4 linked regions of the Anolis sagrei genome follow. The protein of the gene in region 2 interacts with the protein of the main gene of each other region in a pairwise test. Links are inferred from orthologs where the notes say so. Each region holds a gene or a part of one and is shown on either strand. Other genes may lie near its edges. The genes, in order: mitochondrial ubiquitin ligase activator of nfkb 1-A-like, UBE2E3, RNF167 and CNOT4.

Region 1 (7,446 bases), on a different chromosome or scaffold from region 2:
AGGAGAAAAGGAGGTGTGTGGGTCAGGTTTGCTTCCACGTTTGTTTCCGTTAACCCTCTCCTCAGGCTTATTCTCAGTTCCAGACCAGCTTGGCTTTAGAAATTCCAAACTCGCTCCCATCCCTTGAGCTCGGTGAGGACTAGTGCCTTGGACTTAGCGTGTGAGTGTGTGTATGTGTGTTGGTGGGGGGAGGAGGGATGCCGTTGGTGTATTTAATTATTAAAAGCCGTTTCCGCTTGATTGTTTCAATGTGGTCTTCAAATGTGTGGCACAAATAAAATGTAAACATTGAGAGGAAAATACAAATCACCAGAGATTAGAAATGAGACTCGATAAGCACTGTTTTGTTTTCAGTGAAGTCAGGCTGGGATTTGGGAGATCTAGAGGCACATGAACATCTACTTTATGCCTGTGTCCGGACTATAGCATTTCAGATTGGAAGCACCGGGACCATATGTTAGTCGTTACAAAAACATTCACCATGTGCAGAAAACTTTCAGATGGTGGAAAGTTCTACCTGAGTCCATTCTGCCAATGTACCATTTCTATTTAGGGATTATTTTCCTGTGTGCCAAAAAAGACAGGTAATGTGAACTAGAACTTCCCTTAAGTTGTCTACACTGTTGAATTACTGTGCCTTGACACCACTTTTACTGCCATCACTTAGTACTATAGTATCCTGGAGTTTGTATTTTTGGTGTGGCACCAGCTTCTTTTTGGCAGAGAAGGCTAATGAACTTGTGAAATTAAAGTTCTCATGATTCCATAGCAATAAGCCATGGCTGTTAAAGTGGTGTCAAACTGCATTCATTTGGTAGTATAGAAAACTTTACTTATGCGATCCCTCGTAGCTTGGGGATTATGGTCTTCCAGGTGTAGTGTCTTGGCAGTGGGTCCGTATGTGGCTGTAGAGCCCTATTCTTGATCTGCATGTTCTCCTGCAGTGAGGACATCAGTTTCCAGATTAAGGTGGTCCCAGTCAGGGTTGGCTTGATGCGCCTTCCTCTTGGCAAGTTTCTCCCTTTCATTCTCCATTCGTGCCTCTTCGAATTCTGCAGCACTGCTTGTCACAGCTGACCTCCAGTTAGAGCACTCAACGGTCAAGGCTTCCCAGTTCTTGGTGTCTATGCCACATTTTTTTTAAGGTTGGCTTTGAGCCCATCTTTAAATTTATTTTCCTGTCCACCAACATTACATTTCCCATTCTTGAGTTCGGAGTAGAGTAACTGCTTTGGGAGACGTTGATTGGGCATTCGGACAACGTGGCCAATCCAGCAGAGTTGAGGATGAAGGAGCATAACTTCAATGCTAATGGTCTTTGCTTCTTCCAGCACATTGACCTTTGTCCGCCTGTCTTCCCAAGAGATTTGCAGGATTTTTCAGAGGCAGCGCTGATGGAATCGTTCCAGGAGTTGCGTATGACATCTGTAGACAGTCTTTTCGCGGGTGTACAGCAGGGTTGGGAGGACAATAGCTTATACAATCAGGGACAGCTAATCACCTCTCAACAAAGGAATTTCCCAGGCAGTAACAAGCGACACCTAAAAACTGTCTGGCCATCAAATGCTAATCAATGTGGCCAAATGAAACATTCACACCTAGCTCCAACAGACCACAGTTCTTCCTCCCACCCTGGACCTTCCACAGATATATAAACCCAATTTTCCTAGTTTCCAACAAACCTCACAACCTCTGAGAATGCCTGGCACATATGCAGGCAAAACGTCAGGAGAGAATGCACCTAGAACGTGGCCATACAGCCCAAAAAACCTACAACAACCCTCTTAGAAAACTATTTCTTGATTTAAGGCATTGGCATACTGGTTTATATCTGAATAGGGGATGGGCTGGATATGTCACTGCCTTGGTCCTTTCATTATTGGTTGCTACTTCCCAGCGGATGTCAGGTGTTGCAATACTGGCTAAACATTATTTCTCCAGTGGTGTAGGGCACAGACAGCCTGAGATAATGCAGCATGTGCGACCACAAGCGACATGTAGCATCATAGAATTGGAAGAGACCACATGGGCCATCCAGTCCAACCCCCTGCCAAGAAGCAGGAAAATTGCATTCAAAGCACCCCCGACAATGGCCATCCAGCCTCTATTTAAAAGCCTCCAAAGAAGGAGCATCCACCACACTCTGTGTCACAACTCAGGGAAGCTTCACCTTGGTCAAGACACCACCACACCCAAGGCTGTAGGTTTTGTAGTTTATTGAGAAAAAAGCAAAATCAAAACAGAGAAATAAAGATGCAAAAATTCAATAGGCAAAACAGAGTCTTAAATGCAAAGGCAAAGTTCCCAAGATCCAAAGGCAAATAACATAATCCCTTAGCAATGGTCAAACAAGAGTCCGTGGTAAACAGGTAAAATCAGGATCAAAATCCAAGTCTCAAAGAAGCCAGAAGCGTTCCGCAAAAGACAAGGTAGTTCCACAGAAGTTAACAGGGAAAGAGCAACATTGGACTGACAGGAAATGCCTGTCACCTACATCATTAAATAAGTTTCCCTGACATGAAAGCGTTGCATTGACCTTTGGCTTCACGCTTGTTGGCAAGGCGTGTGCTTCTGCAAGCTATTAATCGTAAACTATCCTGTCTACTCATTAATTCACTATTATCTTCAAGGCTAAACAACTCATTATCTTGGCCCAGCTGGGCCTCATCACTCTGGGAACCGAAAGGAGTCTTCACCTGCACTTGTGGAGTTTCACTATCTTTATCTAAAGGCACATTCCTTTCCCCGGGAAACAGGCTTGCTGTTTCTTCTTCAGAAGCCACACTATCAGCCCCGTCTGGAACATGTACAGGAATCTGTAACCCATCAGCCTCCTCATCATCCTGCAGAAAGTCAGGCTCAGAAGGCCCAGCAGACCCAGAAGGCCCAAACAATTCAGTCTGAGACTCAGGCTCAGACTGAGCCACAGCACTCTGGGGCAGAGAGTTCCACTGCTGAACGTCTCTCAGTCAGAAAGTTCTTCCTAATGTTCAGATGGAATCTCCTTTCTTGTAGTTTGAAGCCATTGTTCCATTGCGTCCTAGTCTCCAGGGAAGCAGAAAACAAGCTTGCTCCTTCCTCCCTGTGACTTCCTCTCGCATATTTATATATGGCTATCATATCTCCTCTCAGCCTTCTCTTCTGAAGGCGAAACATAGAATCATAGAATCAAAGAGTTGGAAGAGACCTCATGGGCCATCCAGTCCAACCCCATTCTGCCAAGAAGCAGGAATATTGCATTCAAATCATCCCTGACAGATGGCCATCCATCCTCTGTTTAAAAGCTTCCAAAGAAGGAGCCTCCGCCACACTCCAGAGCAGAGAGTTCCACTGCTGAACGGCTCTCACAGTCAGGAAGTTCTTCCTCATGTTCAGATGGAATCTCCTTTCTTGTCGTTTTAAGGCATTGTTCTGTGCCCTAGTCTCCAGGGAAGCAGAAAACAAGCTTGCTCCCTCCTCCCTGTGGCTTCCTCTCACATATTTATACATGGCCCTCATCATATCCCCTCTCAGCCTTCTCTTCTTCAGGCTAAACATGCCCAGCTCCTTAAGCCACTCCTCATAGGGCTTGTTCTCCAGACACTTTTATGATTTTAGTCACCCTCCTCTGGACACATTCCAGCTTGTCAATATCTCTCTTGAATTGTGGTGCCCAGAATCGGACACAATATTCCAGGTGTGGTCTAACCAAAGCGGAATAGAGGGGTAGCATGACTTCCCTAGATCTAGACACTATGCTCCTATTGATGCAGGCCAAAATCCCATTGGCTTTTTTTTTTGCCGCCACATCACATTGTTGGCTCATGTTTAACTTGTTGTCCACATGCCCAGCTCTTTAAGCCGCTCCTCATAGGGCTTGTTCTCCAGACTCTTGATGATTTTAGTCGCCCTCCTCTGGATACATTGTCAATAGAAGATTACATCTTTATCTGCAGCAGCCTTCATCTGTTCAAACATAACATAAATATGTTAGACTAGATCCAGGGGCATGCAAACGATGGCCTGCAGGCCACATTTGGCCCAAAATATTTTCCCCAACCCTAAGCTCTCTTATTGCATCTTAATTCAACTTTCAATAGTCAGAGGGACAGTCTAAGGCAGGCCTGGGCCAACTTGAGCCCTCCAGGTGTTTTGGACTCCAACTCCCACAATTCCTAACAGCTTACAGGCTGTGGGAGTTGTGGGAGTTGGAGTCCAAAACACCTGGAGGGCCCAAGTTGGCCCAGGCCTACCTGAGGGTCACATTTCCCAGCAACAGCTGTCTGCCACAAAGAGAAGCTGCAGTCAGCGCTTTCCGGCCAGCAAGAGTCGCAACACATTCTATTTGCGAGCAGAGCACGCTGGGAGTCGTAGTCTTTGAACAGCGATGGAAAAACCGCTGCGAAGGGAAGTCGCTGTTTTTTGGACTCCGTTTCCCATAACCCACCGCGGCGGAGTGTGCACGCTGGCGTTTCCGCCGGGCTGAGACCACAAAACTTTGGTTCCGCCAGAGAAGGAGAGAAGCGAGGATATGGGAAGTTGTTTCTCGGCGTCAGAGGTAAGTCAGTGGCCATTAATGTTTCTAATGGATTTACCTTGAATCCTGGGAGTTAGTCTAGGCAAGAGTGCCCCTGAGCATGGGCAGAGTGTTCTGATACTTTGATGCATCAAACTTTTGTTTCAGTCACACAATTATTACAATTCCCACATTAATAAAAGTCAAAGCATGTGTGTATGTTGGTTGGGTTGTCCCCCAAAAGCTCCTCCATGCCTTGATGGATTTGGGCCAAACCATTCATGATCCAACTTCATGTCATGGTCCAACTTTGTAAAAGCTCACTTTTTTCAGGCCCCAAAAGGATCAAAGTTAGTTGGATGTGGATGATTGGCAGTTGCTAGGTGAAGTGTCCCTCTGTGATTTTTTTCAGGCTCAAAAGCATCAAAGTTAGTTGGATATGAATGATTGGCAGCTGCTAGGTGAAGTGTCCCTCTGTGATTTTTTTCAGGCTCAAAAGCATCAAAGTTAGTTGGATATGAATGATTGGCAGCTGCTAGGTGAAGTGTCCCTCTGTGATTTTTTTCAGGCTCAAAAGCATCAAAGTTAGTTGGATATGAATGATTGGCAGCTGCTAGGTGAAGTGTCCCTCTGTGATTTTTTTCAGGCTCAAAAGCATCAAAGTTAGTTGGATGTGGATGATTGGCAGTTGCTAGGTGAAGTGTCCCTCTGTGATTTTTTTCAGGCTCAAAAGCATCAAAGTTAGTTGGATATGAATGATTGGCAGCTGCTAGGTGAAGTGTCCCTCTGTGATTTTTTTCAGGCTCAAAAGCATCAAAGTTAGTTGGATATGAATGATTGGCAGCTGCTAGGTGAAGTGTCCCTCTGTGATTTTTTTCAGGCTCAAAAGCATCAAAGTTAGTTGGATATGAATGATTGGCAGTTGCTAGGTGAAGTGTCCCTCTGTGATTTTTTTCAGGCTCAAAAGCATCAAAGTTAGTTGGATATGAATGATTGGCAGCTGCTAGGTGAAGTGTCCCTCTGTGATTTTTTTCAGGCTCAAAAGCATCAAAGTTAGTTGGATATGAATGATTGGCAGCTGCTAGGTGAAGTGTCCCTCTGTGATTTTTTTCAGGCTCAAAAGCATCAAAGTTAGTTGGATATGAATGATTGGCAGTTGCTAGGTGAAGTGTCCCTCTGATTTTTTTCAGGCTCAAAAGCATCAAAGTTAGTTGGATATGAATGATTGGCAGCTGCTAGGTGAAGTGTCCCTCTGTGATTTTTTTCAGGCTCAAAAGCATCAAAGTTAGTTGGATATGAATGATTGGCAGCTGCTAGGTGAAGTGTCCCTCTGTGATTTTTTTCAGGCTCAAAAGCATCAAAGTTAGTTGGATGTGGATGATTGGCAGCTGCTAGGTGAAGTGTCCCTCTGTGATGTCACTAGGAAAGGAAGAAAGAAAGAAAGAAAGAAAGAAAGAGAAGAGAAAGACAGGAAGGGAAGGGAAGGGAAGGGAAAGAAAGAAAGTGTTGCAATCCAGAGCAGGGAACGAGGCCCTAAGATAACTATCCACCACACTTGACTGTGAAAAACAATCCTTTTTTATTGAAGAAAAATGATTACAAAATAAAGGAAAAATGCAAGTCAAAAGCCACAGCAAAATCAGCACACATGAATTTAAATGGACAAAGCAAAACCCAAAGCCACACTGAAATACTGGAACCTGTTAGCAATCCACTAACCGTACTTGATATCCTAGAAATCTTTCAATACCATGGCCAGGGAAACCGGGAGAACTGCCAAGGTCTTCATCAATTCTGAAACAATGCCTGAACTGAGAAAGTCCGCCCGGCAGAAGGCAATTAAAGCCCAAGAATTGGTTCCGTGAACCACCCTTCTGCTTTGAAGCCAATGTTTTTAATTCTTTAATTCGAGACGACCTTCGCAAGCTGAGTGATTTACTTTTATCTTGCCAGATCTGCCCCCTTCTGTTGTCATTAAAGTTACCAGGTGCAGAAGGGAGGAAAAGGTCAAGGCTTCCCTCTGAAACATTCTCATGAACACTGGTACTTTCATTTTCCAAATCTACAGAAGTTCCTTCCTCACTAATTTCAGGAGCATTGGCATCAAGAGGTACATTTCCATTAGCATCAGTAAATATGTTTTCATTAGCATCAGGAGGAACAAACAGAGAATCAGGTTCAAGTTCAAACTCAGGATGAACCCCAACAGAAAGAAGAAGAAAGAAAGGGTTTGAAATAAGGATCAAAGTTAGTTGGATGTGAATGATTGGCAGTTGCTAGGTGAAGTGTCCCTCTGTGATGTCACTGGGAAAAGAAGAAAGAGAAAAAGGAGAGAAAGACAGGAAGGGAGGGAAAGAAGGAAGACAAAAGAGGAAGAAAAAGGGTTTCTGTAGTTTTGAACTCTGAATATGTTCGAACTGGGAATTTTTAAAATGCTTGTTATATTTAATTCTGTTTTCATATTTGCCTATTGGTATGTTTTCAATTTTATGCTGATGCTTTTATGTTCCGCTGCTTTGAGTTTCCTTTGGGGGAGATAAAGTGGGGTACAAACAACAACAATAAAGGGGAGAAGGAAAGGAAGGGAAAGGAGGAAAGAAGAAGAACAAAATGGGAAAATGAAAGAAAGGAGGGATGGATGGGTATGAATGAAAAAGGAGGGAATAAAGAAAGGAAAAGGAAGAAGATATGAGGGGAGGAGAGGAAGAAAGAAAGGATGAAGGGATGGAGGGAAGAAAGAAAAAGAAGGGGAAAGTAAGAATAGAAGGAAGAGGAAAAAAGGAGAGAAAAGGATGTGTATGAGGGAAAACGAGGGAAGGAAGAAAGAGAAAAAGAAGAGAAAGAGGAAGGGAGGGAAGGAGAAGAAAGAAAAAAGAGGAAGGAAAGGGGAGAATTATTATTTCTTACCTACCTCTCCTCACGTCTCGAGGCGGTTTACAACATTGCTAAAA
Region 2 (7,310 bases):
CTGGGATTTGGAGGCCCAAACAGCTGGAGAGCCGCAGTTTGAGGATGCCTGCTATAGGCTATATATTAGAGGAAGGGACTAGCAAAAACACCCTGATGGGTTCGACATTGGGAGAATAGAAGGCGCATAAACACACACAAAGGTTTTGACTCTCCTTTAAGAGAGGAAATCAGGATATAAATATGTACAATAATAACAAGGAAAAGGAGAAGGGGGAAGTAGACGACATCTTGTTCTTGAAGTATGCAGAAGCAGTATTGTTTGAAAGTGAAGCAGGTTTCCAATCCTAACCATCATCAATATTCTTGTATATGGTAATTTTCTTGGGTTCGGGGGGAGGGGAGGCCTCAGGATCTACCCTAGCAAACCTTTTGTATCGTTACCTCAATACCCCCATGCATATGGGATATATTGAGCATGGTGATTAGATCATGATATGAATAAACATAACAGTTTAAATAATGTAGCAGTAAGGCCTTTTCGCGAACTACGATGAGAATTTCGGGGGGGGGGGGCTGAAGCCCCTCAAGCCCCCCCCCCCCCCCCGGGCTACATACCTGCACACAGTATATGTTAACTGGACTTCTAGTGTAGTTTGAATGCTAAAGCAAGACTCCAAAGCCCCTTCTACACTGCAATATAATCCAGATTGTCAAAGCTGATAATCAAAGGTATCTTTCCACATATATAACATCTCAGCCCCCTTCCACATTGCCACATAATCCACCTTTTCAAAGCAGATAATCCACATTATCAGTTTTAAATTGGACTGTATGAGTTTACACTGCCATATAATCCAGTTCAAAGCAGACAATCTGAATTTTATATGGCAATATAGAAGGGGCCTCAGACTTTTAACACTTTCAACTTCAGAGAAGACTATGATTGGACTCTGGACTTCCATGTCAGGGCCCTTCCACACAGCGCTATAGCCCAGAATATCAAGGCAGAAAATCCCACAATATCTACTTTGAACTGGGTTATCTGAGTCCACACTCAAGATAATACGGAATTTTCTGCCATGACATTCTGGAATATAAGGCTGTGTGGGCCTTCAATTTGGCATTGGCAAATTGATACACGACCGAGGATATTTGTATTTTTACATCCATTTATTTGATATTCCAGTTTCCCCCTCAGTACTAGAATAAAGTTAAAACAAAGAACAATCTGAACAAACTATTAATAGAAACATAAAAAATAAATGTGTTGAGGAATAATTTCCGTTTCAAAAACACAAGTTTAAAATCTTTTAAAAAACAGATTCAAACATAATGAAACACACACACACACATACAGCACTCACCGCGTGGAAAGCTCCATCTGCAGCAACAAGTAAAAAACAAAACACAACAAAAGGCCTGATTAAATAAAATAGTAAAAAAAATATATTGGAAAAACAAAGAGAAATCTGCCTGTAGAGATTTGGGAACAATCATAGAGAAGGCTTTCACACCTGGTTTCCCAGACCATGATGATTTATTATATATTTATTATATATTTATTATTATTTACAAGCTGTCCCCTGCCATGTGTTGCTGTGGCCCAGTCTGTGTATATGTGTTTTGTGTGTGTACATGAATGTGTATATGTGTGTTGTGTGTGTGCGTGTGTGTGAGGGTTTGTGCATAAGTTGTAACGTAATTTTTGGTTTTTTTGGATTTTTAAGCCCTTTCTGTTGTGTTTTTCAGAATTATTATGAGTGATGGGCACTCGTTGGCCTGATAGGTGTCTTGTGTCCAAATTTGGTGTCAATTCGTCCAGTGGTTTTTGAGTTATGTTAACCCCACAAACGAATATTACATTTTTATTTATATAGATTGTATTTCTCGACCAGCCTTTTCATCCAGTGACCTCAGGGCAGTATAAGTCAGTTCTCCTTCTAGTACCTGACACAGGGGATTGGCAGTGGTAGCAATGTAGGGCAAAGATCTGTCCGCACTAGCAGTAACTGGGTGCATCTTAACTGCAAAATGAATTAGTTTTACCCCACTTTTACTGCCACACTCAATGTTGTGGAATCCTGAGAGTTGTTGTTTAGAGGGACACTAGGGCCCCTTCTACACTGTCATATAAAATCCAAATTATTTGATTTGAAGTGGATTACATGGTAGTGTAGACTCATATAATCTGGCTGAGAAATGTATAGTTTGACACTTGGGCAATAAAAATGAAATGGACAGCTCATATAGGATGTGTGGCACCTGGCTTGAATACAGTACACGTGAAAGGAATCTAGGAGCCTGAGGAGCCTTCTATACTTTGTATTAGTCTACACTGCCATATAATCCAGTTCAAAGCAGATAATGTGGATTTTTAAGGAAAGTGTAGGTGCCTGCCATAGATGCAGGCAAAACTTCAGGAGAGACTGCTTCTAGAACATGGCCATACAGCCCGAAAAACCTACAACAACCCAGTGATTCCGGCCATGAAAGCCTTCGACAGTACAAAGGTGATTCTACTTGAACATTAGGAATAACTTCCTGTGAGAGAGCTGATCAGCAGTGGAACTCTCTGTCTCAGTGTTTAATAGAGTCTCCAAGTCCTGGAGGCTTTTACAGAGGCTGCCGGGAGTGCTTTGATTGTGGAAGAACGGGATTGGATTGGGTGGCCTTTGGGGCCTCTCCCGACTCTATAGAAGTCCAGGATTTCCAAGCGCAACACACACACTCTGGCTGCAAATGACTGAAGGATTCTATTTGAACATTAGGAAGAACTTCTTGTGAGAGCTGTTCAGCAGTGGAACTCTCTGCCTCAGGGTTGTAATGGAGTCTCCAAGTCCTGGAGGCTTTTAAAGAGGATGGATGGCCATCTGTCGGGGGTGCTTTGGTTGTGGAAGAACAGGGTTGGATTGGGTGGCCTTTGGGACCGCTCCTGACTCTATAGGAGTCCAGCATTTCCAAGCACAACACACACACACTGGCTGCAAATGACCGAAGGATTCTATTTGAACATTAGGAAGAACTTCCTGTGTGAGAGCTGTTCAGCAGTGGAACTCTCTGCCTCAGGGTTGTAATGGAATCTCCAGGTCCTGGAGGCTTTTAAAGAAGATGGATGGTCATCTGCTGGGAGTGCTTTGATTGTGGAAGAACGGGGTTGGACTGGGTGGCCTTTGAGACTGCTCCTGACTCTATAGGAGTCCAGGATTTCCAAGTACAACCACACACACTCTGGCCGCAAATGACAGAAGGATTCTTCTTGAACATTAGAAAGAAATTCCGGTGTGAGAGCTGTTCAGCAATGGAACTCTCTACCTCAGGGTGTAATGGAGTCTCCAAGTCCTGGAGGCTTTTAAAGAGCATGGAAGGCCATCTGCCAGGGGTGCTTTGATTGTGGAAGAACACGGTTGGACTAGGTGCCCTTTGGGGCCACTCCTAATTCTATAAGAGTCCAGGATTTCTAAGCACAACACACACACACTCTGGCTGCAAATGACCGAAGGATTCTACTTGAACATTAGGAAGAACTTCCTGTGAAAGAGCTGTTCAGCAGTGGAACTCTCTGCCTCAGGGTTGTAATGGAATCTCCAGGTCCTGGAGGCTTTTAAAGAAGATGGATGGTCATCTGCTAGGAGTGCTTTGATTGTGGAAGAACAGGGTTGGACTAGGTGCCCTTTGGGGCCACTCCTAATTCTATAAGAGTCCAGGATTTCTAAGCACAACACACACACACTCTGGCTGCAAATGACCGAAGGATTCTACTTGAACATTAGGAAGAACTTCCTGTGAGAGAGCTGTTCAGCAGTGGAACTCTCTGCCTCAGGGTTGTAATGGAATCTCCAGGTCCTGGAGGCTTTTAAAGAGGCTGGATGGCCATCTGCTGGGGATGCTTTGATTGTGGAAAAACAAGGTTGGACTAGGTGCCTTTGGGGCCTCTCCTGAATCTATAGGAGTCCAAGATTTCCAAATACAACACACACACACACACTGGCTGCAAATGACTGAAGGATTCTATTTGAACATAAGGAAGAACTTCCTGTGAGAGAGCTGTTCAGCAGTGGAACTCTCTGCCTCAGGGTTTAATAGTTTCCAAGTCCTGGAGGCTTTTAAAGAGGAGGGATGGCCATCTGCCGGGAATGCTTTGATTGTGGAAGAAGGGGGTTGGACTGGGTGGCCTTTGGGTTCAGGATTTCCAAGGACAACACACACACGAGCTACTACTGCTGCCTTTGGCTGCAAATGACCAAAGGATTCTATTTGAACATTAGGAAGAACTTCCTGTGTGAGAGCTTTTCAGCAGTGGAACTCTCTGCCTCAGGGTGTAATGGAGTCCCCAAGTCCTGGAAGCTTTTAAAGAGGCTGGATGGCCATCTGCCGGGAGTGCTTTGATTGTGGAAGAACGGGGTTGGACTGGGTGGCCTTTGGGGCCTCTCCCAAGGAGTCCAGGATTTCCAAGCACAACACACACACGAGCTGCTGCTGCTGCCTCTGGCTGCACATGACCGAAGGCGAGGTGGGTGAGTGTATGCCTGGGAGGACGAGAAGGGAGACTTTCCCTTTGGGGGGAAGGCTGCAAACTTAGGCCGGGAGAGAGAGGAAAGGAAAGGGGTTCCTGGGTTCCCTTGGGCAGCCAACTCTTTGTCCTTGACCAGCAAAGCGGGGGAAGGTAAAAAAAAAAGAGAGAGAGAGTGAGAAAGAGCAGAGCGCGTGCGCGCGCACTAAAGCCGACAAAGCAGCAGCACCAGCGGGGGCGCGCGCTCCAGCCTGGGAGAGCGCGCGCGCCGTCCTTTTCCCTTTTCTCTCTCTCTCTCCCTGCGTTTGGAACTTTGCTGACTGCAACGTTCTGAATCCGAAAGTAGGGGGCGGAGGCGAGAGAACGTTCGATTTGCCCCCCCCCCCTCCCTTTGGAGGAGAAAGAGAGAGAGAGAGAGGAAAAAAAGGGGAGCGCTCCGCAGCGCCACCGTCCGGCCATCGCGTGTATTGCACCTCCCCTTTTTTTCTCTCTCCCTTTCTCCCTCTCCTTCTCTCTCTCTCTCTCCCACCCCCCTTCTCTCCGGCTCTCAATGATCCACACTGCCCGGCCACAGAGCCGCCTCCTCCTCCTTCTCCGCCGCCCGATTGCCCCCCTCCCAAGCTGCTGCTGCTGCTGCCTCTCCTGCTTCTCCTCCTCCTCCTCCTCGTAGCCCCTTCCCAGCCCCCAAGGACACAACGCTCTCCCTTCCCTTCCCTTCCCTCCCCCCTTCCCTCCCTCCCCTCCTCCTCCTCCTCCGAGTGAACGTCGGGACAGGACGGCTGCCAAGGTAAAAAAAGGAGACACGGGTTAGGACAAGCAGGGAAAGGGGGGAGGGAAGGAAGGGAGAAGGGGAGGGAGGAGGGGAAGGGGGGTGGTCGTGGAAAAGAGAGCTTTGTTCTGGCTGCCTGGCCCCACTCGAGTTCACGCCTCACTTGGTGGCACACACACACACACACAACACACGCGCGGAGTGGACGGATCCGGGTGGGAGAAGCTTCCTTCCTGCCATTACAGCAGAGAGAGAGGAGGAAGAAGAAGAGGAGGAGGAAGAGGAGGAAGAGGAGGAGGAGGACGACTCTGTGTTGAAGGCAACACACACACACACACACAGAGGAGGGCAAAGCTGCCCCTGCTGCAATTCCTGATCAGGATCTACCTCCTCTTCCTCCTCTTCCTTCTCCCTCTTTCTCTTTTTTGGGAATGATCTAATCCCAATATTTCAACCCCCCCTCTCTTGCATGTGATCCTTCCTGGAGGAATCCCCATTTATTTATTTTTTAGGGGGCAAAAAGATGTCTGTCTGTTTTGTAGAAACTGATCCAGAGTCGGTGGTGGCGTTGAAAGCTTTCCAGAAGGTGCTTCTTCTTCTTTTCCTTCTTTGCTTCCTCCCTTCGCCAAACCTTCTCCTCAGTTGGGCCCATTCTTCTTCCCCTTCCTTCCTTCTTTCCCCAAACCTTCTCTCCAGTTGGGCCCAAACATTAGGGTGAAAATTGAGAGGCAGTGGGTTTGTTGGGATCTGTGTCCCCCCTCCCCCCCCCTTTGTATATATGTTCTCATTACTATAAATATAAGTGTGTTGTTGGGGCCCGGGGAGCAAAGAGGAAGGGGCTCTTAACCTAGTGTCTCTAAGGTAAATATTATTCAGGGCAGAGAGAGAGCCTATTTTGGGGTCAGTCTCGGTTGTTTACAACCCTGTTGTCCTAAGTTGCTGTGAGTTTTTCTGTGCTGGATGGCCATGTTCCAGAAGCATTCTCTCCTGACGTTTCGCCCACCTCTGTGGCAGGCATCCTCAGAGGTTGTGAGGTCTGTTCGAAACTGCAGGGTGACAGAAAGATATATGCATTTTCCAGGCTGTCTGGCTATGTTCCAGAAGCATTCTCTCCTGATGTTTCACCCACATCTATGGCAAGCATCCTCAGAGGCTGTGAGGTCTGTTTGAAACTAGGCAAGTGGGGTTTGTATATCTGTGCAAGGTGAGAGAAAGATATATGAGTTTTCCAGGCTGTCTGGCTATGTCCCAGAAGCATTCTCTCCTGATGTTTCGCTCACCTCTATGGCAGGCATCCTCAAAGCCTGTGAGGTCTGTTGAAAACTAGGAAAATTGGGTATATATATCTGTGGAATAATGTCCAAGGTGGGAAAAAGAACCCTTGTCTGCTTGAGGCAAGTGTAAATGTTTTCTGAATGTTGTTCTTTATTTAGAGTTGTTTAAATACTGGTAGCCAGATTTTGTTCCCCAGGTAGGAAGCACCCAGGCTTGGAAGTTGAAAGGCCATTCGAAGCTAATCAAGGTGGCCAATGGCAACATTCACACTTGCCTCAATGTAAATGTTTTCTGAGTGTTCTTCTGTATTTAGTGTCCTGATTTTAGAGGTTTTTTTAATACTAGTATCCAGATTTTGTTCCCCAGGCAGGAAGCAGCCAGGCTTTGAAGCTGCAAGACCATTAAAAGCTAATCAAAGTGGCCAATGGCAACATTCACATTTGCCTCAAGCAGACAATAACAACAACAACAACAACGCATTATTCTTTGATACATCACACAGTCCTAGACACTTGGGAAGTTTCCGATGTGTGATCCAATGCAACAGCCAGCAGAGTGATCTTATCTGCTGTGGACTCATCTTGTTGTGCTTCAAATAATAATAATAACTTCATTTTTATACCCGGCTAAGAGTTCTTCCTCCCACCCTGGACCTTCCACAGATATATAAACCTCACTTGCCTAGTTTCCAACAGACTTCACAACCTCCGAGGATGCCTGCCATAGATTTGGGCAAAATGTCAGGAGAGAATGCTTCTGGAACATGGCCATACAGCCTGGAAAACTCACAGCCACCCAGTGATTCCAGCCATGA
Region 3 (7,083 bases), on a different chromosome or scaffold from region 2:
CCCCGTGAGGCCATCCAGTCCACCCCGCGTCCTCCTGCCTTCCTGCAGGGAGAGCCCCCCCCCCGCCATTCGATCCCTCCGGACAGAGGCCCTGCTTCCCCACGCGCCCCTTCCTTCCCCTTGTTCTTCTCACCCGGCCAGGCCCCCGAAAAGGAACTTGACGGACTTGGGGGAGGTCTTGGGCTTCGCCTCCGCCATCTTGGACCAAGGTCACTCCGGCCCGGCTGGAAGGGAACACAGCTATGAGGGGGATCCCCGCAGCCAATCAGCGCCCGGCTTCAGGCGAGGAGGCGGGACTTCTGGGGAAAGGGAGCCGAGGACGACGAGGAGAGACGCAACCACGCACGCGCGGGAGCTAAAGGGGCGTGGCCAATCAGGCAAGGGGCGTGGCTACCGGGCAAGGGGGCGTGGCCAAGCTGGCTTTTTCCCGCGCCTGCGCAGTACTAGGAGTGAATGCCATTCATCCAAGTCAGTTTTGCAGAATTCAAAAACTGACCACCATTATCATTAATACCATTATTATTATTATATTGTTTTATTATATATTCTATTATTATATATATTCTATAATATATATGATTATGATATATTATATTATTATTATATATTCTATTATTATAGAATATCAGTATGTTCTTCTATTATATAATAACATATTGATATTCTGTAATAATAGAAAATATAATAAAATAATATAATAATAATAATATAAATATGTTAGGTTCTTGTGGGTTTTTTCGGGCTATATGGCCTTGCTCTAGAGGCATTCTCTCCTGACGTTTCGCCTGCATCTATGGCAAGCATCCTCAGAGGTAGTGAGGTCTGTTGGAACCAGGAAAAATGGGTTTATATATCTGTGGAATGACCAGGGTGGGACAAAGGACTCTTGTCTGCTGGAGCTAGGTGGGAATGTCTCAACTGACTACCTTAATTAGCATATAATGGCCTGACAGTGCCTGGAGAAAACTTTTGTTGAGAGGTGTTAAGATGTGCCTGGTTGTTTCCTCTCTGCTGTTTTGCTGTTGTAATTTTAGAGTTTTTTACATCTTAACACCTCTCAACAAAAGATTTTCCCAGGCTCAGCCAGGCCTTTCAATGCTAATGAAGGTGGTCAGTTCAAACATTTACACCTAGCTCCAGCAGAGAAGAGTCCTTTGTCCCACCCTGGTCATTATTCCACAGATATATAAACCCAATTTTTCTAGTTCCAGCAGACCTCACTACCTCTGAGGATGCTTGCCATAGATGCAGGCGAAACGTCAGGAGAGAATGCCTCTGGAACATGGCCATATAGCCCGAAAAAACCTACAACAACCCAGTGATTCCAGCCATGAAAGGCTTCGACAAGACATTATTTGGATTGTTTCCTTAATGGCTGTCCAAGATGCATGGGCTCAGGGACAGAGAGGGAGGGGTCCTGGGTGCACATTAGCCGCGTTTCTTCCCGAGGAGTGACCAGCAGCCCCACTTCCACTCCCCACATTCCAGGCCATTGCCCTCCACTCTTTTGGCGCATGGTTTGCCCTAAGGTCAGGCCTTGGTCCTTGGCCAAGGAATGTGGAGGAGGAGGAGGAGGAAGAAGAAGAAGAAGAGGAATGCTTGGCATAGCAAAACCAGGAATGCCATTGTGCTGGGAGGAGGAGGAGGCCATGTGCTGCTGTTGTGGACGCTGCACTCAACATTCCTACACATGGGTCTGTGGCTGGGCCTTTGCAAGAGCAAACGAAGCCTCCCATGAGTTGCTGTGAGTTTTCCAGGATGCACAGCCAATATGTTATTATTTATTCTCAAGATCATACATATGGAGAACCCTGTGTTATGCGGGCAGAAACTAATAATAATAATAATAATAATAATAATAATAATATAAAGTTTCTGTCCCCATAACACAGGGTTTTCCATATGTATGATTTTGAGAATTAATAAATAATAATAATAATAATAATAATAATAATAATAATAAAAGGAAATCAGGAGACACTTCCTTCTTGGGAGGAGAGCAATGTCCAGTCTCGATAAAATAGTCAAGAGTAGAGACATCAGACTGGCAACCAAGATCCATTGCCTAGTCCAAGCCATGGTCTTCCCTGTAGTCACCTCCGGATGTGAGAGCTGGACCTGAGGGAAGGCTGAGCGAAGGAAGAGAGATGCTTTTGAGCTGTGGTGTTGGAGGAAAGCTCTGAGAGTGCCTTGGACTGCGAGAAGATCCAACCAGTCCATCCTCCAGGAAATAAAGCCCGACTAAAGCTCACTGGAGGGAAGGAGACTAGAGACAAAGTGGAAATCCTTTGGCCACATTATGAGGAGACAGCAAAGCCTAGAGAAGGGAATGATGCTGGGGAAAGTGGAAGGCAAAAGGAAGAGGGCAAGATGGATGGATGGCATCCTTGAGGTGACTGGACTGACCTTGAAGGAGCTGGGGGTGGTGACGGCCAACAGGGAGCTCTGGCGTGGGCTGGTCCAGGAGGTCACGAAGAGTTGGAGATGACTGAACGAATGAACAACAATAATAATATAACTATAATAATAATAATATAACTATAATAATAATAAAAAATAATATAAAGTTTCTGTCCCCATAACACAGGGTTCTCCACATGTATGATTTTGAGAATTAATAAATAATTGTTGCAATCCAGAGCAGGGAACGAGGCCCTAAGATAACTCTCCACCACACTTGGCTGTGAAAAACAATCCTTTTTTATTGAAGAAAAATGGTTACAAAATAAAGGGAAAATGCAAGTCAAAAGCCACAGCAAAATCAGCAAACATGAATTTAAATGGACAAAGCAAAACCAAAAGCCTCACTGTGAAATACTGGAACCTGTTAGCAATCCACTAACCATACTTGATATCCTAGAAATCTTCCCAAACTATGGCCAGGGAACCGGGAGAACTGCCAAGGTCTTCATCAATTCTGAAACGATGCCTGAACTGAGACGTAAGGCAATTAAAACTCAAGAATTGGTTCCGTGAACCGCCCTTCTGTTTTGAAGCCAATGTTTTTAATTCTTGAATTCGGGAGGATCGAGGCAAACTGAGTGATTTACTTCTGTCTTCCCAAATTTGGCCCCTTCTGTTGTCATTACAGTTACCAGGTGCAGAAGGGAGGGGAAGGTCAAGGTCTCCCTCTGAAACATTCTCATGAACACGGGTACTTTCATTTTCCAAATCTACAGAAGTTCCTTCCTCACTAATTTCAGGAACATTGGCATTTTCCAAACCTACAGCAGATTCTTCCTCACTAATTTCAGGAGCCTTGGCATCAAAAGGGACATTTCCACTAGCATCAGTAAATATACTTTCATTTGCATCAGGAGGAACAAACAGAGAATTAGGTTCAAGTTCAAACTCAGGCTGAACCCCAACAATAATAATAATAATAATAATATAACTATAATAATAATAATAATAATAATAATATAACTATAATAATAATAATATAACTATAATAATAATAAAAATAATATAATTTTCCCCATAACACAGGTTTTCCATATTTATGATCTTGAGAATTAATGAATAATAATAATAATATAACTATAATAATAATAAAAATAATATAAAGTTTCTGTCCCCATAACACAGGGTTTTCCATATGTATGATTTTGAGAATTAATAAATAATAATAATAAAACTATAATAATAATAAAAATAATATGAAGTTTCTTCCCCCATAACACAAGGTTTTCCATACGTATGATTTTGAGAATTAATAAATAATAATAATAATAATAATATAACTTTAATAATAATAATATAACTATAATAATAATAAAAATAATATAAGTATAATAATATAATAATAATAATAATAATAATAATATAACTATAATAAAAAATAAAAATAATATAAAGTTTCTTCCTCCATAACACAGGGTTCTCCATATGTATGATCTTGAGAATTAATGAATAATAATAATAATAATAATAATAGTCTGCCTCCTCCCCCTCCCCCTCCCCCTCCCTCCTGCTGCAGCTGAGCCCGAGATGACACGCCCACCGATCTGCATAGCCCCGCCCACTGCCCTGCGAGGCCCCGCCCACCCCTCGAGCGAGCCGGAGAGGCGGAAGTAAACAAGGCGGGCGCTTCCGGAAGGGGCGGGGCTTGATGCTGTGGGCCTTTCCCCTCTGGTGAGGCCTTCTCCCACGCGAGGCGAGGGACGAGCGGCGAGCCCGAGGACCCCCGGTTGCGTGCCCATGAGGCGGGGGGCCTGAGCCCGCCAAGGAGGGGAAGGTAAGGGCGGTCAAGGGAGGGAGTCAGAGGAGGGAGGGCCCTCTGGTCACGTGGGGACACACCTGGGCACACACCTGGGCCCTGCCCTTTGGGGATTGTTTTGGGCTCTCAGGTCAGATCAGCAGGGTGATTTCCAACGCTGTTTATTGGAAGGAAACCACTCTTGGCTTTGGTTTTTTCTCTGAATGCTCCCATTAGAAAATGCATGAGGATGTGGGTGAACTACAACTCCCAGAATCGTGGGTCAAGCCTCCCCAAGCCGGGCCAGTATTCACAGTTGGCCATGTTGGGCCAGTGCGCCAAGTCTGGTCCAGATATGTCATTGGCAGGGTTCAGTGCTCTCTAGGTGCAGGTGAACTACAACTCCCAGATTCAGTGATCTCTCTCTTGATGCAGGGGAACTACAACTCCCAGATTCCGAGGTCATTCACCCCCAAACCCTGCCAGTATTCATAGTTGACCATATCTGGGCCGGATATGTCATTAGCAGGGTTCATTGCTCTCTAGATGGAGGTGAACTACAACTCCCAGATTCCAAGGTCATTCACCCCCCTAACCCTGGCAGTATTCACAGTTGGCCATGTTGGGTTTATGCGTCAAGTTTGGTCCAGATATGTCGTCACCTGGGTTCATTGCTCTCTAGATGCAGGTGAACTACGATTCCCAGGTTCATTGCTCTCTAGATGAGGGTGAATTACAACTCCCTGATTTCAAAGTTCAGTGCTCTCTAGATGCAGGTAAACTACAACTCCCAGATTCCAGGGTTCAGTGCTCTCTAGATGCAGGTGAACTACAACTCCCAGATTCAATGGTTCAGTGCTCTCTAGATGCAGGTGGACTACAACTCTCAGATTCCAAGGTCATTCACCCCCTAACAGTGCCAGTATTTGCAAGTTTGGTAGTTGATTAAATGTCCTTTGACCAGTCTCTGGCCCCTTGGAGTGCCTCTGGTGTTGCCACAAGGAGGTCCTCCCTTGTGCATCATGTGGAAGAAGGGCTCAGGGTGCATTGCAGCAGGTGGGCAGTGGTTTGCCCTTCTCCGCGCTCGCATGTCGTGGACCTCACTTTGTGGCCCCATTTCTTGAGGTTGGCTCTGCATCTCGTGGTGCCAGAGCACAGTCTGTTCAGCACCTTCCAAGTTGCCGAGTCTTCTGTGTGCCCAGGGGGGAGTCTCTCATTTGATATCAGCCGTTGATTGAGGTTCTGGGTTTGAGCCTGCCACTTTTGGACTCTCGCTTGCTGGGGTGTTCCAACAAGTGTCTCTGTAGATCTTAGAAAACTATGTCTTGATTTAAGTCGTTGACGTGCTGGCTGATACCCAAACAGGGGATGGGCCAGGGATGTCTTCACTGTATCTGGTTGTGATCTCCAGGTTGTGCCAATCAGCTTTCGTATGATATTGTTTCTAGCGCCCACTTTTTGCTTGATGTTCAGGCAGTGCTTCTTGTAGGTCAGAGCACGGTCCAGAGTGACTCCCAGGTATGTGGGTGCGCTGCAATGCTCCAGTGGGATTCCTTCCCAGGTAATCATCCTCAGAGCTCGGGATGCTTGTCTGTTCTTAAGTTGAAAAGTACATGCCTGTGTTTTAGATGGGTTAGGGATCAGCTGGTTTTCCCTGTAATAGGCAGTAAGAGCACCTAGAGCTTCGGAGAGCTTCTGTTCAGCCATCTCAAAGCTCCCTGCTTGAGCGGTGATGGCACGATCATCAGCATAGATGAAGCTCTCCATCCCTTCTGGCAGTGGCTGGTCATTTGTGTAGATGTTGAACATGGATGGAGCAAGCACGCTCCCCTGAGGCAAGGCCGTTCTTCTGTTTCTGCCATAAGCTTCTCTGGCCCTGGAACTCAACCAAAAAGCTCCTGTTTTGTAGCAGGTTTCCTATGAGGCAGATGAGACGGTAGTCCTCTGTGATATTATACATTTTTCTCAGGAGGAGGCGGTGGTTCACTCCAGAAGCAACCAGAAGCGACTAAAATGGATTATATCAGTCTACACTGCCATATAATCCAGTTCAGATCAGATAAGCTGGGTTTTATATGGCAGTGTGGAAGGGGCCTTTATGCTAATCCGCTTTGAGACTCCTTCGGGAGAGACAAAGCAGGGTTGAGCCCAAGGTGAGTTTGACCTTCCTTCTTCCAGGCAACGGTCTGGGCTTTTCCTTGATTTAGCAAGAAAAGGGCCAAGTACGTCAGTCGAAAGGAGAAACCTGCCCACACTTCTGAGAATGTCCAGGCATCATCATCATTGTTGTCATATTTATTTACACCCCGCTTTATCTCTCCCAACGGGGACTCAAAGCATCTTGACATAAAAGCATTAGTAGGCTATTTAAAATATCCAAAGATGCAAACATGGAAAGAAAACTAAACACAAACAGCACGAAAGAAATTCACAGTTAAAATCCATTAAAACATCTTCAAAGTGGAAAAGCACAGGCACAGCCGCGTTTGTGCTTTGTATGGAAGGCAAGCCAGAACAAGGTGGATTTCCTCCTTCCTTCTCTGACCCCTTCTACACTGCCATATTTTACTTGTTGTGTCAGGGCAACCAGTCAAATTATATTACATTTCTAACAGAACAAAGCAAACAAACAGACATAATACAAAATGTGTGAGTTTGGTAGTTGATCAAATGTCCTTTGACCAGTCTCTGGCCCCTTGGAGTGCCTCTGGTGTTGCCGCAAGGAGGTCTTCCATTGTGCATCATGTGGCAGGGCTCAGGGTGCATTGAAGCAGGTGGTCAGTGGTTGGCTCCTCTCTGCACTCGCATGTTGTGGATTCCACTTTGTGGCCCCATTTCTGAAGGTTGGCTCTGCATCTCGTGGTGCCAGAGCGCAGTCTGTTCAG
Region 4 (7,198 bases), on a different chromosome or scaffold from region 2:
GGTGGAGAAGACTAGAGATCTTGTCAAAACTAAAACTCCCAGGATCCCCTAGCATTGAGCCATGGCAGTTAAAATTGTGTCCAACTGCATTAATTCTACAGTGTAGATGCACCCTAATACGAACCACTCCTTCAGTCATCACTGCACTGCTGCTCATCTGTCCCATCGGCCTCTTCTTCTCTTCCATTCCACTGCCATCAGTGGGATTTGTTGCATTACTTTCGTTGACTACTGTAAGCTCCCTGAGTTTCATTGACTGATGTGAGCTCTCTTTCTCCACATCCCCAGTGGAGAGTGCAGATTTGTGCATAAAGGGTGAATAAAGCAAACAAGGCATCGATAACACTAAACCATGGCAGTGAATGTGGTGTTAAACTTCATGAACTGTGTAGTGTACCCTTACCCTAAGACACTTGGCTTATCTTAAAACATAGATATGGAAGATCTAACTTTACTCAAGGAGAAAAACAAGAGGATTGGAAACAAGGGACAAATAGAATGTCACATTAGAAAAGGGAGAAAATTATAACGCCAAGGAGGGGAAGTCTGCAGTCAATCCCTTAACCAGTGCCCTTCCACACAGCCCTATATCCCAGAATATCAAGGCAGAAAATCCCACAATATTGGCTTTGAACTGGGTTATCTGAGTCTATACTGCCCAATTGAAAGTAGAAAATTTGGTATTTTATTCAGCTATGTGGAAGGGGTCTTATGCTTTGAACTGGAATATATGGCACAATAGACTCAGGCCCCTTCCACACAGCTGAATAAAATCCCACATTATCTGCTTTAAACTGGGATATATGGCAGTGTGACTCAGATAACCCAGTTCAAAGCAGATATTGTGGGATTTTCTGCCTTGATATTCTGGGTTATATGGATGTGTGGAAGAGCCCTTAGAATGAGTTAGCTGGAATCTCTTTAAGGCATTGCAGAGGTCCAGAACTAAGTTCAAAACAGAAAATGTGGGATTTTATTCAACTATGTGGAAGGGGCCCCAGAGAACCCTGCAAAGCAAAGGCAGCCTTATGGGGGCATCAAAGGGCTATGGCCCAGCCTCCGTATCTCCCCCTATGAACGATCTCAGAGATTAAGATTGTCTGGGGAGGCCCTGCTCTCAGTCCCACCTTCTTTGCAAGTGCAGTTGGTAGAGACGAGTGACAGGGCCTTCTCAGTAGTGGCCCCTCAGTTATGGAACTCCCTCCCTAGTGATATCAAGGCTGTCCCTTCCCTCCTAGTGTTTAGAAAGAGAGTCAAAACCTGGCTCTGGGAGTAGGTATTTGAAAAATAGAGCAGTGCAGGAAAGCAAGTATGGAATATGTGCAATTTGACTACAGATTGGCCTTTAGACTGCCACTTTGGATGATGTGATTCATTGAAATGTATTTTTATTATACGTATTATGTTTTAATTTTTAACTGATGTTGTATGTTTTAAGGCACTGTGGAGGTATAATTGTAAGCCGCCTTGAGTCCCCCTTGGGGTAGAGAAAGGCAGGATATAAATAAGGTAAATAAATAAATAAAATAGAATTAATAGTTCGACAAAACTTCAATTGCCATTTTTTTTGCCATGTCAGGAGTGACTTGAGAAACTGCAAGTCGCTTCTGGTGTGAGATAATTGACCGTCTGCAAGGACGTTGCCCAGGGGATGCCTTGATGAATTGATGTTTTTATCATCCTTGTGGGGGGCTTTTCTCATGCCCCCGCATGAGGAGCTGGAGCTGATAGAGGCAACTCATCTGCCTCTCCCCGGATTCGAACCTGCGACCTGTCGGTCTTCAGTCCGGCTGACACAGGGGTTTAACCCACTGCGCCATCGGGGGCTCTTCAATTGCCATGCCTCTATGCGACAGAATCATGGGAGTTGTAGTTTGGTGAGGTACCAACACTATGTGGCTCAATACCTTGTAAAACCACATCTCCCATGATTCCATGGTATTGAGCCATGGAAGTTGAAGTGGTGTCAAACCCTGAGACAGCTAGTTTACCTTAGGCATACAGATCCAACATGGGCAAACTACCCGGAGACATCTAGTTTACCTTAAGCATATAAATCAGGCATGGGCAAATGTACTGGCTGTTAGGAATTGTGGAAGTTGGAGTCCAAAACACCTGGAGGGCCGAAGTTTGTCCATGCTTGATATAGATTCAGGAGATCTAGCCTTACCGAGGGGCCAAAATATACTGTACTGTACTGTAAATAAATAAAATGAGAGGAAGGGACAAAGAGCGAAAATGTGAGGATGGGAAACAAGGGACGAAGAGAAATCCCCCTGGAGACAGCTCTGTCCCACACTGAGGAGTGGATGCCTCTAAAAAGCAATGCAACATTGGGGATCCACTTCCACGTAAGGAGAAGGCCCCACAGGGAAACATAACGGGGAAGGAAGAAGGGCCGGAGAGGGAACACCCAGAGAGGTAGGTACACACATACAGTTAACTGCCACCCACTCCCAACACACGTGCTCCTTCCGAAGAGATCTCTCTCAGGATCGCAAGGCGAGGGGCAGCAGCCTTCCCCTCGGCAGCCTCGCCCTGAAAAGCCCCGGCGTGGCCCGCCTGCCTCCCTCCCTCTGAGGGGCGGCCCAGAGCCTCCTCCTCGGCCTCTCTTCCGCCTCTGGCTTTGGCCTGAGGGAGGCCAAGCGCGGAGGGCAGCGAGGAGGGCGGCCCAGGCCTGGAAGCTCCCTTGAAGCCTCCGCGCTCTCGTAACGGAGTGAACCCGGCTTGCCTGCCTTGCTCACCGGCCTCGTCGTCCCTGCTCCACGGCGGCGGGGGCGGCGGCGGCGCGCGCTCTCTGCTGCCGGCTGGCTGGCTCCTTTCCTTCCTTCCTTCCTTCTTTCCTTTCCTTCCTTCCTTCTTCCTCTCGGGGCGGCTCCTCCTCCTTTCCCCCTCTTCTTCCTTTTTTTTTATGTGAGAGACGGGTAATCTCTTGGCTCTGCGCGCTGCTCCGCCGCCGACAGACCGGCCACCATCTTACATTAGGGAGAGACTGCTTGCCTGCTTGCTAGGCTTGCCCCGGACGCGCATGCGCACCAGGCGCCGGAGAGGCGGGTTGCGGGGGAAGGAAGGCGTCGAAAGAGGCGCGACGCGCGGAACAGAGCATGACGGGAGTTGTAGGCCAGCCCCGGAGGGTTCGGAAAGGGAAGGACGCGGCGCGTAGGTTATGCGAAATAGGTTCCCAGGCTGCAGCTCCCAATGTTGGCGGCCAGGAGCATCTGGAGGGACACCATATCACTGTCTATTGTTCTATATAGGCTTCCTTTCCACCCTCGGTCCAAGTTGGGCCCTCCAGGTGTTTTGGACTTCAATTCCCATCATTCCTAACAGCCTCAGGCCCCTTCCTTTTCCCTCTCAGCCCATGTTGGGCCCTTCAGGCGTTTTGGACTTCAATTCCCACCATTCCTAACAGCCTCAGGCCTCTTCCTTCCCCCCCCCCGTCCAATTTGGGCCCTCTAGGTGTTTTGGACTTCAATTCCCACCATTCCTAACAGCCTCTGCCCCTTCCTTTTCCCCCTCAGCCCGAGTTGGGCCCTCCAGGGGTTTTGGACTTCAACTCCCATCATTCCTAACAGCCTCAGACCCCTTCCTTTCCCCCCTCAGCCCAAGTTGGGCCTTCCAGGGGTTTTGGACTTCAACTCCCATCATTCCTAACAGCCTCAGACCCCTTCCTTTTCCCCCTCAGCCCAAGTTGGGCCCTTCAGGTGTTTTGGACTTCAACTCCCACCATTCCTAACAGCCTCAGGCCCCTTCCTTTCCCCCCTCACCCCAAGTTGGGCCCTTCAGGTGTTTTGGACTTCAACTCCCACCATTCCTAACAGCCTCAGGCCCCTTCCTTTCCCCCCTCAGCCCAAGTTGGGCCCTCCAGGTGTTTTGAACTTCAACTCCCACCATTCCTAACAGCCTCAGGCACCTCCCCCCCCCAGTCCAAGTTGGGCCCTCCAGGTGTTTCAGACTTCAACTCCCACCATTCCTAACAGCCTCAGCCCAAGTTGGGTCCTTCAGGTGTTTTGGACTTCAACTCCCACCATTCCTAACAGCCTCAGGCCTCTTCCTTCCCCCCCCCCCCAGTCCAAGTTGGGCTCTCCAGGTGTTTCAGACTTCAACTCCCACCATTCCTAACAGCCTCAGCCCAAGTTGGGTCCTTCAGGTGTTTTGGACTTCAACTCCCACCATTCCTAACAGCCTCAGGCCCCTTCCTTTTCCCTGAGGGTGGAGTTGAAGTCCAAAACATCCAGAGGGCCCAACTTGCCCTATGCTTGATCTAGCCTGTAGAATGAATGCGGTTTGACATCACTTTGACTACCCTGGCCCAACGCTGTGGTTGGTAGCTTGGTGATGCAACAGCTCCCATTGGCAGAGAAGGCTAAAGACCTTGTGAAACTACAGTTCCCATGGTTTGATAGAATTGAGCCATCTGATATCCCTAGGGAGAGTGTTCCATAGCTGAGGCCCTGTCTCTCGTCCCCGTCAGACGTACTTGTGATGAAGGCGGGACCGAGAGCAGGGCCTTCCCAGACAATCTTAAAGTCCTCGATGATTCATAAGGGGAGATGTGTTCAGACAGGTAAGTTGGGCCAGTACCGTTTAGGGCTTTATAGGCCAGAGCCAGCACTTTGAATTGTGCTCAGTAGCAAACCAGCAGCCAGTGGAGCTGGCGCAACAGGGGGGTTGTATGCTCCCTGAGAGTCGCTCCTGTTATCAACCTGGCCGCCGTCTGTTGGACTAGTTGACACTTCCGGACAGTGTTCAAAGGCAACCCCACGTAGAGTGCGTTGCAGTAGTCTATATGTGATGTAACCAGAGCGTGGATTACCATGGCCAAGGTGCATTTTTGTACAGTGTCATTCAAATATATACAATATCATAATACATAGAACAACATTGGAATGTAATATTGCTAGTATATGTTAATGTTGTAATATAATATATTGTATACACTACAATCTATGATATAGTACAATCTATCTATACATATAATAAAAGTCAAAGTTTGTATGCGGCGGACGTGTGGCGGGAGGAGTATGTGCCAGCGTTTTGATTGGTTGCCGCTGTGGTGCTATTTGCATATGGTCTCTGATTGGCCAGCTTCAATAGGAGCCCCTGGTGGAGAAAAGAGTTCATTACAGAAACAGGGACATGAGAAGGAAATGTGCATATGGTCTCTGATTGGCCAGCCTCAATTCCAAGATTCTGAGATGACAAAGAGAGGAAAGGAAAAGGCCGGGGGGGGGGGGGGGGGGCTGCGTCAGAAAATTACCAATACAGACCAAACTTGGCACACGGCGACTGCAAGACCCACTCAACATCCTACTGCAGTTTGGAGGATGAACCTTGGATGATGGGACTTGCAGTACAATCACTCACATTCTGAGACCGCTGTTAACCTCATCCCATGACTGATCAGGACCAAACTTGGCACATAGACCTCTCATGACCCACTTTACGTCCTGGTGTGGTTTGGCCGGGGATGTACCATGGATTATGGGACTTGCAGTACCTTTGCTCAATTCTTGAGACCACTGCAATCCTCATCCAATTACCGATAAAGACCAAACTTGGCACACAAAGTCTCCATGATGCACTCTACATCCTGGTGCGGTTTGGAGGAGGATGCACCATGGACGATGGGACTTGCAATACCTGCATTCCCTTCCTAAGACCATTACAACTGCCAACAATGATGGATCAGGACCACAATTTACACAGAGAACCCGCATGACCCACTCTACATCCTGGTGTGGTTTGGAAGAATTTGACAATGGATGATGGGACTTGCAGTCACTTCATTCACTTCCTGAGACCACTGAGACCCTCGCCAATGACTGATCAAGACCAAACTTGGCACACAGAGTCCCCATGACCCACTCTACATCCTGGTGCACTTTCGAGGAGGACATACCATGGATGATGGGACTTCAAGTACCTCCACTCCCTTCCCAAGACTGCTGCAACCCTCATCTAATGTCCGATCAAGACCAAACTTGGCACACAGAGCCCCCATGACGCACTCTACATCCCTAAGCTGTTTGGAGGAGGATGGACCACAGATGATGGGACTGGCAGTACTTTCACTAACTTCCTGAGACCACTGCGAGCCATATAAATAACTGATAAAGACCAACCTTGATACACAATTCCTTTCTCAAATAACCCGGGCAGCGCCGGGACCCAAGCTAGCTAGTATATTATATAATACTATTTATATGCTGGTAATATATTTTATATATTGTGATATAATACTCTGTTCAATATAATAATACATACTGGGTTGTTGTAGATATTTCGGGCTGTATGGCCATGTTCTAGAACAGTGGTTCTCAACCTGTGGGTCCCCATGTGTTTTGGCCTACAACTCCCAGAAATCCCAGCCACTTTACCAGCTGTTACGATTTCTGGGAGTTGAAGGCCAAAACATCTGGGGACCCACAGGTTGAGAACCACTGTTCTAGAAGCATTCTCTCCTGACGTTTTGCCTGCATCTGTGACAAGCATCCTCACAACCTCTTGAGGATGCTTGCCACAGATGCAGGCAAAATGTCAGGAGGGAATGCTTCTAGAACGTGGCCATACAGCCCAAAAAACCTACAACAACCTAGTGATTCTGGCCATGAAAGCCTTCAACAATGCATTAATAATATATAATTGTATATTATATATATTACTGGTAATATTGCAGTATAATGTGTTATTTTTAATGTAGATGTGGTTATTTTTTGTCTTTGTTCAGTTTCTCACGGCATTGAATGTTTGCGGATATCTGTTCCTTTGGAGAAATAGGGCGGAATATAAATAAAGTTTTATCATTATTATTATTTTATTAAATGGTTGTTCTTGGACTGGATTCCATTTGCATATTCTTGATTTGCCACTTAGCAGATAATTTTTAGGAAAATAAACATTTATTTTAAATTTGCATTATTTGTCAAAAAGAACAATTAAAAAGCTGTATGCATGTACATGTGTGTTCAATATGCATAAATGTATTTCCTAACAGCTTTTCAGCAATTGCATTAACTATGCCATCTCCTCCTCCCATCCATCCTACTGGAGAGGCTTCCTATCCTTGGGGTTAGAGACAAATACAATTATGCTCTTCCTTCCTATTAAAATATTTTTCCATCCTTCCTCCAAGCTGCATATCAGTGATTATTTAGAAACTCCATATGAAAATGCCAACATTAAAATTCCAACTTTT

The links.
Region 1: the proteins of UBE2E3 (region 2) and mitochondrial ubiquitin ligase activator of nfkb 1-A-like interact in a two-hybrid assay, tested with the Homo sapiens proteins (2 studies listed by BioGRID and IntAct). The link is inferred for Anolis sagrei from reciprocal best matches to the Homo sapiens genes UBE2E3 and MUL1.
Region 3: the proteins of UBE2E3 (region 2) and RNF167 interact in a two-hybrid assay, tested with the Homo sapiens proteins (2 studies listed by BioGRID and IntAct). The link is inferred for Anolis sagrei from reciprocal best matches to the Homo sapiens genes UBE2E3 and RNF167.
Region 4: the proteins of UBE2E3 (region 2) and CNOT4 interact in a two-hybrid assay, tested with the Homo sapiens proteins (3 studies listed by BioGRID and IntAct). The link is inferred for Anolis sagrei from reciprocal best matches to the Homo sapiens genes UBE2E3 and CNOT4.

The regions. Positions count from the first base shown.
Region 1 is NC_090023.1:262,723,079-262,730,524, forward strand, and holds the start of mitochondrial ubiquitin ligase activator of nfkb 1-A-like, read left to right. Parts: upstream 1-4,442; 5' UTR 4,443-4,537; intron 4,538-7,446. UniProt on the Homo sapiens protein: Exhibits weak E3 ubiquitin-protein ligase activity. E3 ubiquitin ligases accept ubiquitin from an E2 ubiquitin-conjugating enzyme in the form of a thioester and then directly transfer the ubiquitin to targeted substrates.
Region 2 is NC_090021.1:188,322,153-188,329,462, reverse strand, and holds the start of UBE2E3 (ubiquitin-conjugating enzyme E2 E3), read left to right. Parts: upstream 1-4,287; 5' UTR 4,288-4,302; coding exon 4,303-4,452; exon of another isoform or gene 4,453-4,456; intron 4,457-4,926; exon of another isoform or gene 4,927-5,239; intron 5,240-5,347; exon of another isoform or gene 5,348-5,744; coding exon of another isoform or gene 5,745-5,807; intron 5,808-7,310. UniProt on the Homo sapiens protein: Accepts ubiquitin from the E1 complex and catalyzes its covalent attachment to other proteins. In vitro catalyzes 'Lys-11'- and 'Lys-48'-, as well as 'Lys-63'-linked polyubiquitination.
Region 3 is NC_090026.1:1,250,049-1,257,131, forward strand, and holds the start of RNF167 (E3 ubiquitin-protein ligase RNF167), read left to right. Parts: upstream 1-4,073; 5' UTR 4,074-4,237; intron 4,238-7,083. Other genes in the region: SLC25A11 (mitochondrial 2-oxoglutarate/malate carrier protein), read right to left, coding at 134-198.
Region 4 is NC_090025.1:158,008,687-158,015,884, reverse strand, and holds the start of CNOT4 (CCR4-NOT transcription complex subunit 4), read right to left. Parts: upstream 3,002-7,198; 5' UTR 2,745-3,001; intron 1-2,744. UniProt on the Homo sapiens protein: Has E3 ubiquitin ligase activity, promoting ubiquitination and degradation of target proteins. Involved in activation of the JAK/STAT pathway. Catalyzes ubiquitination of methylated RBM15.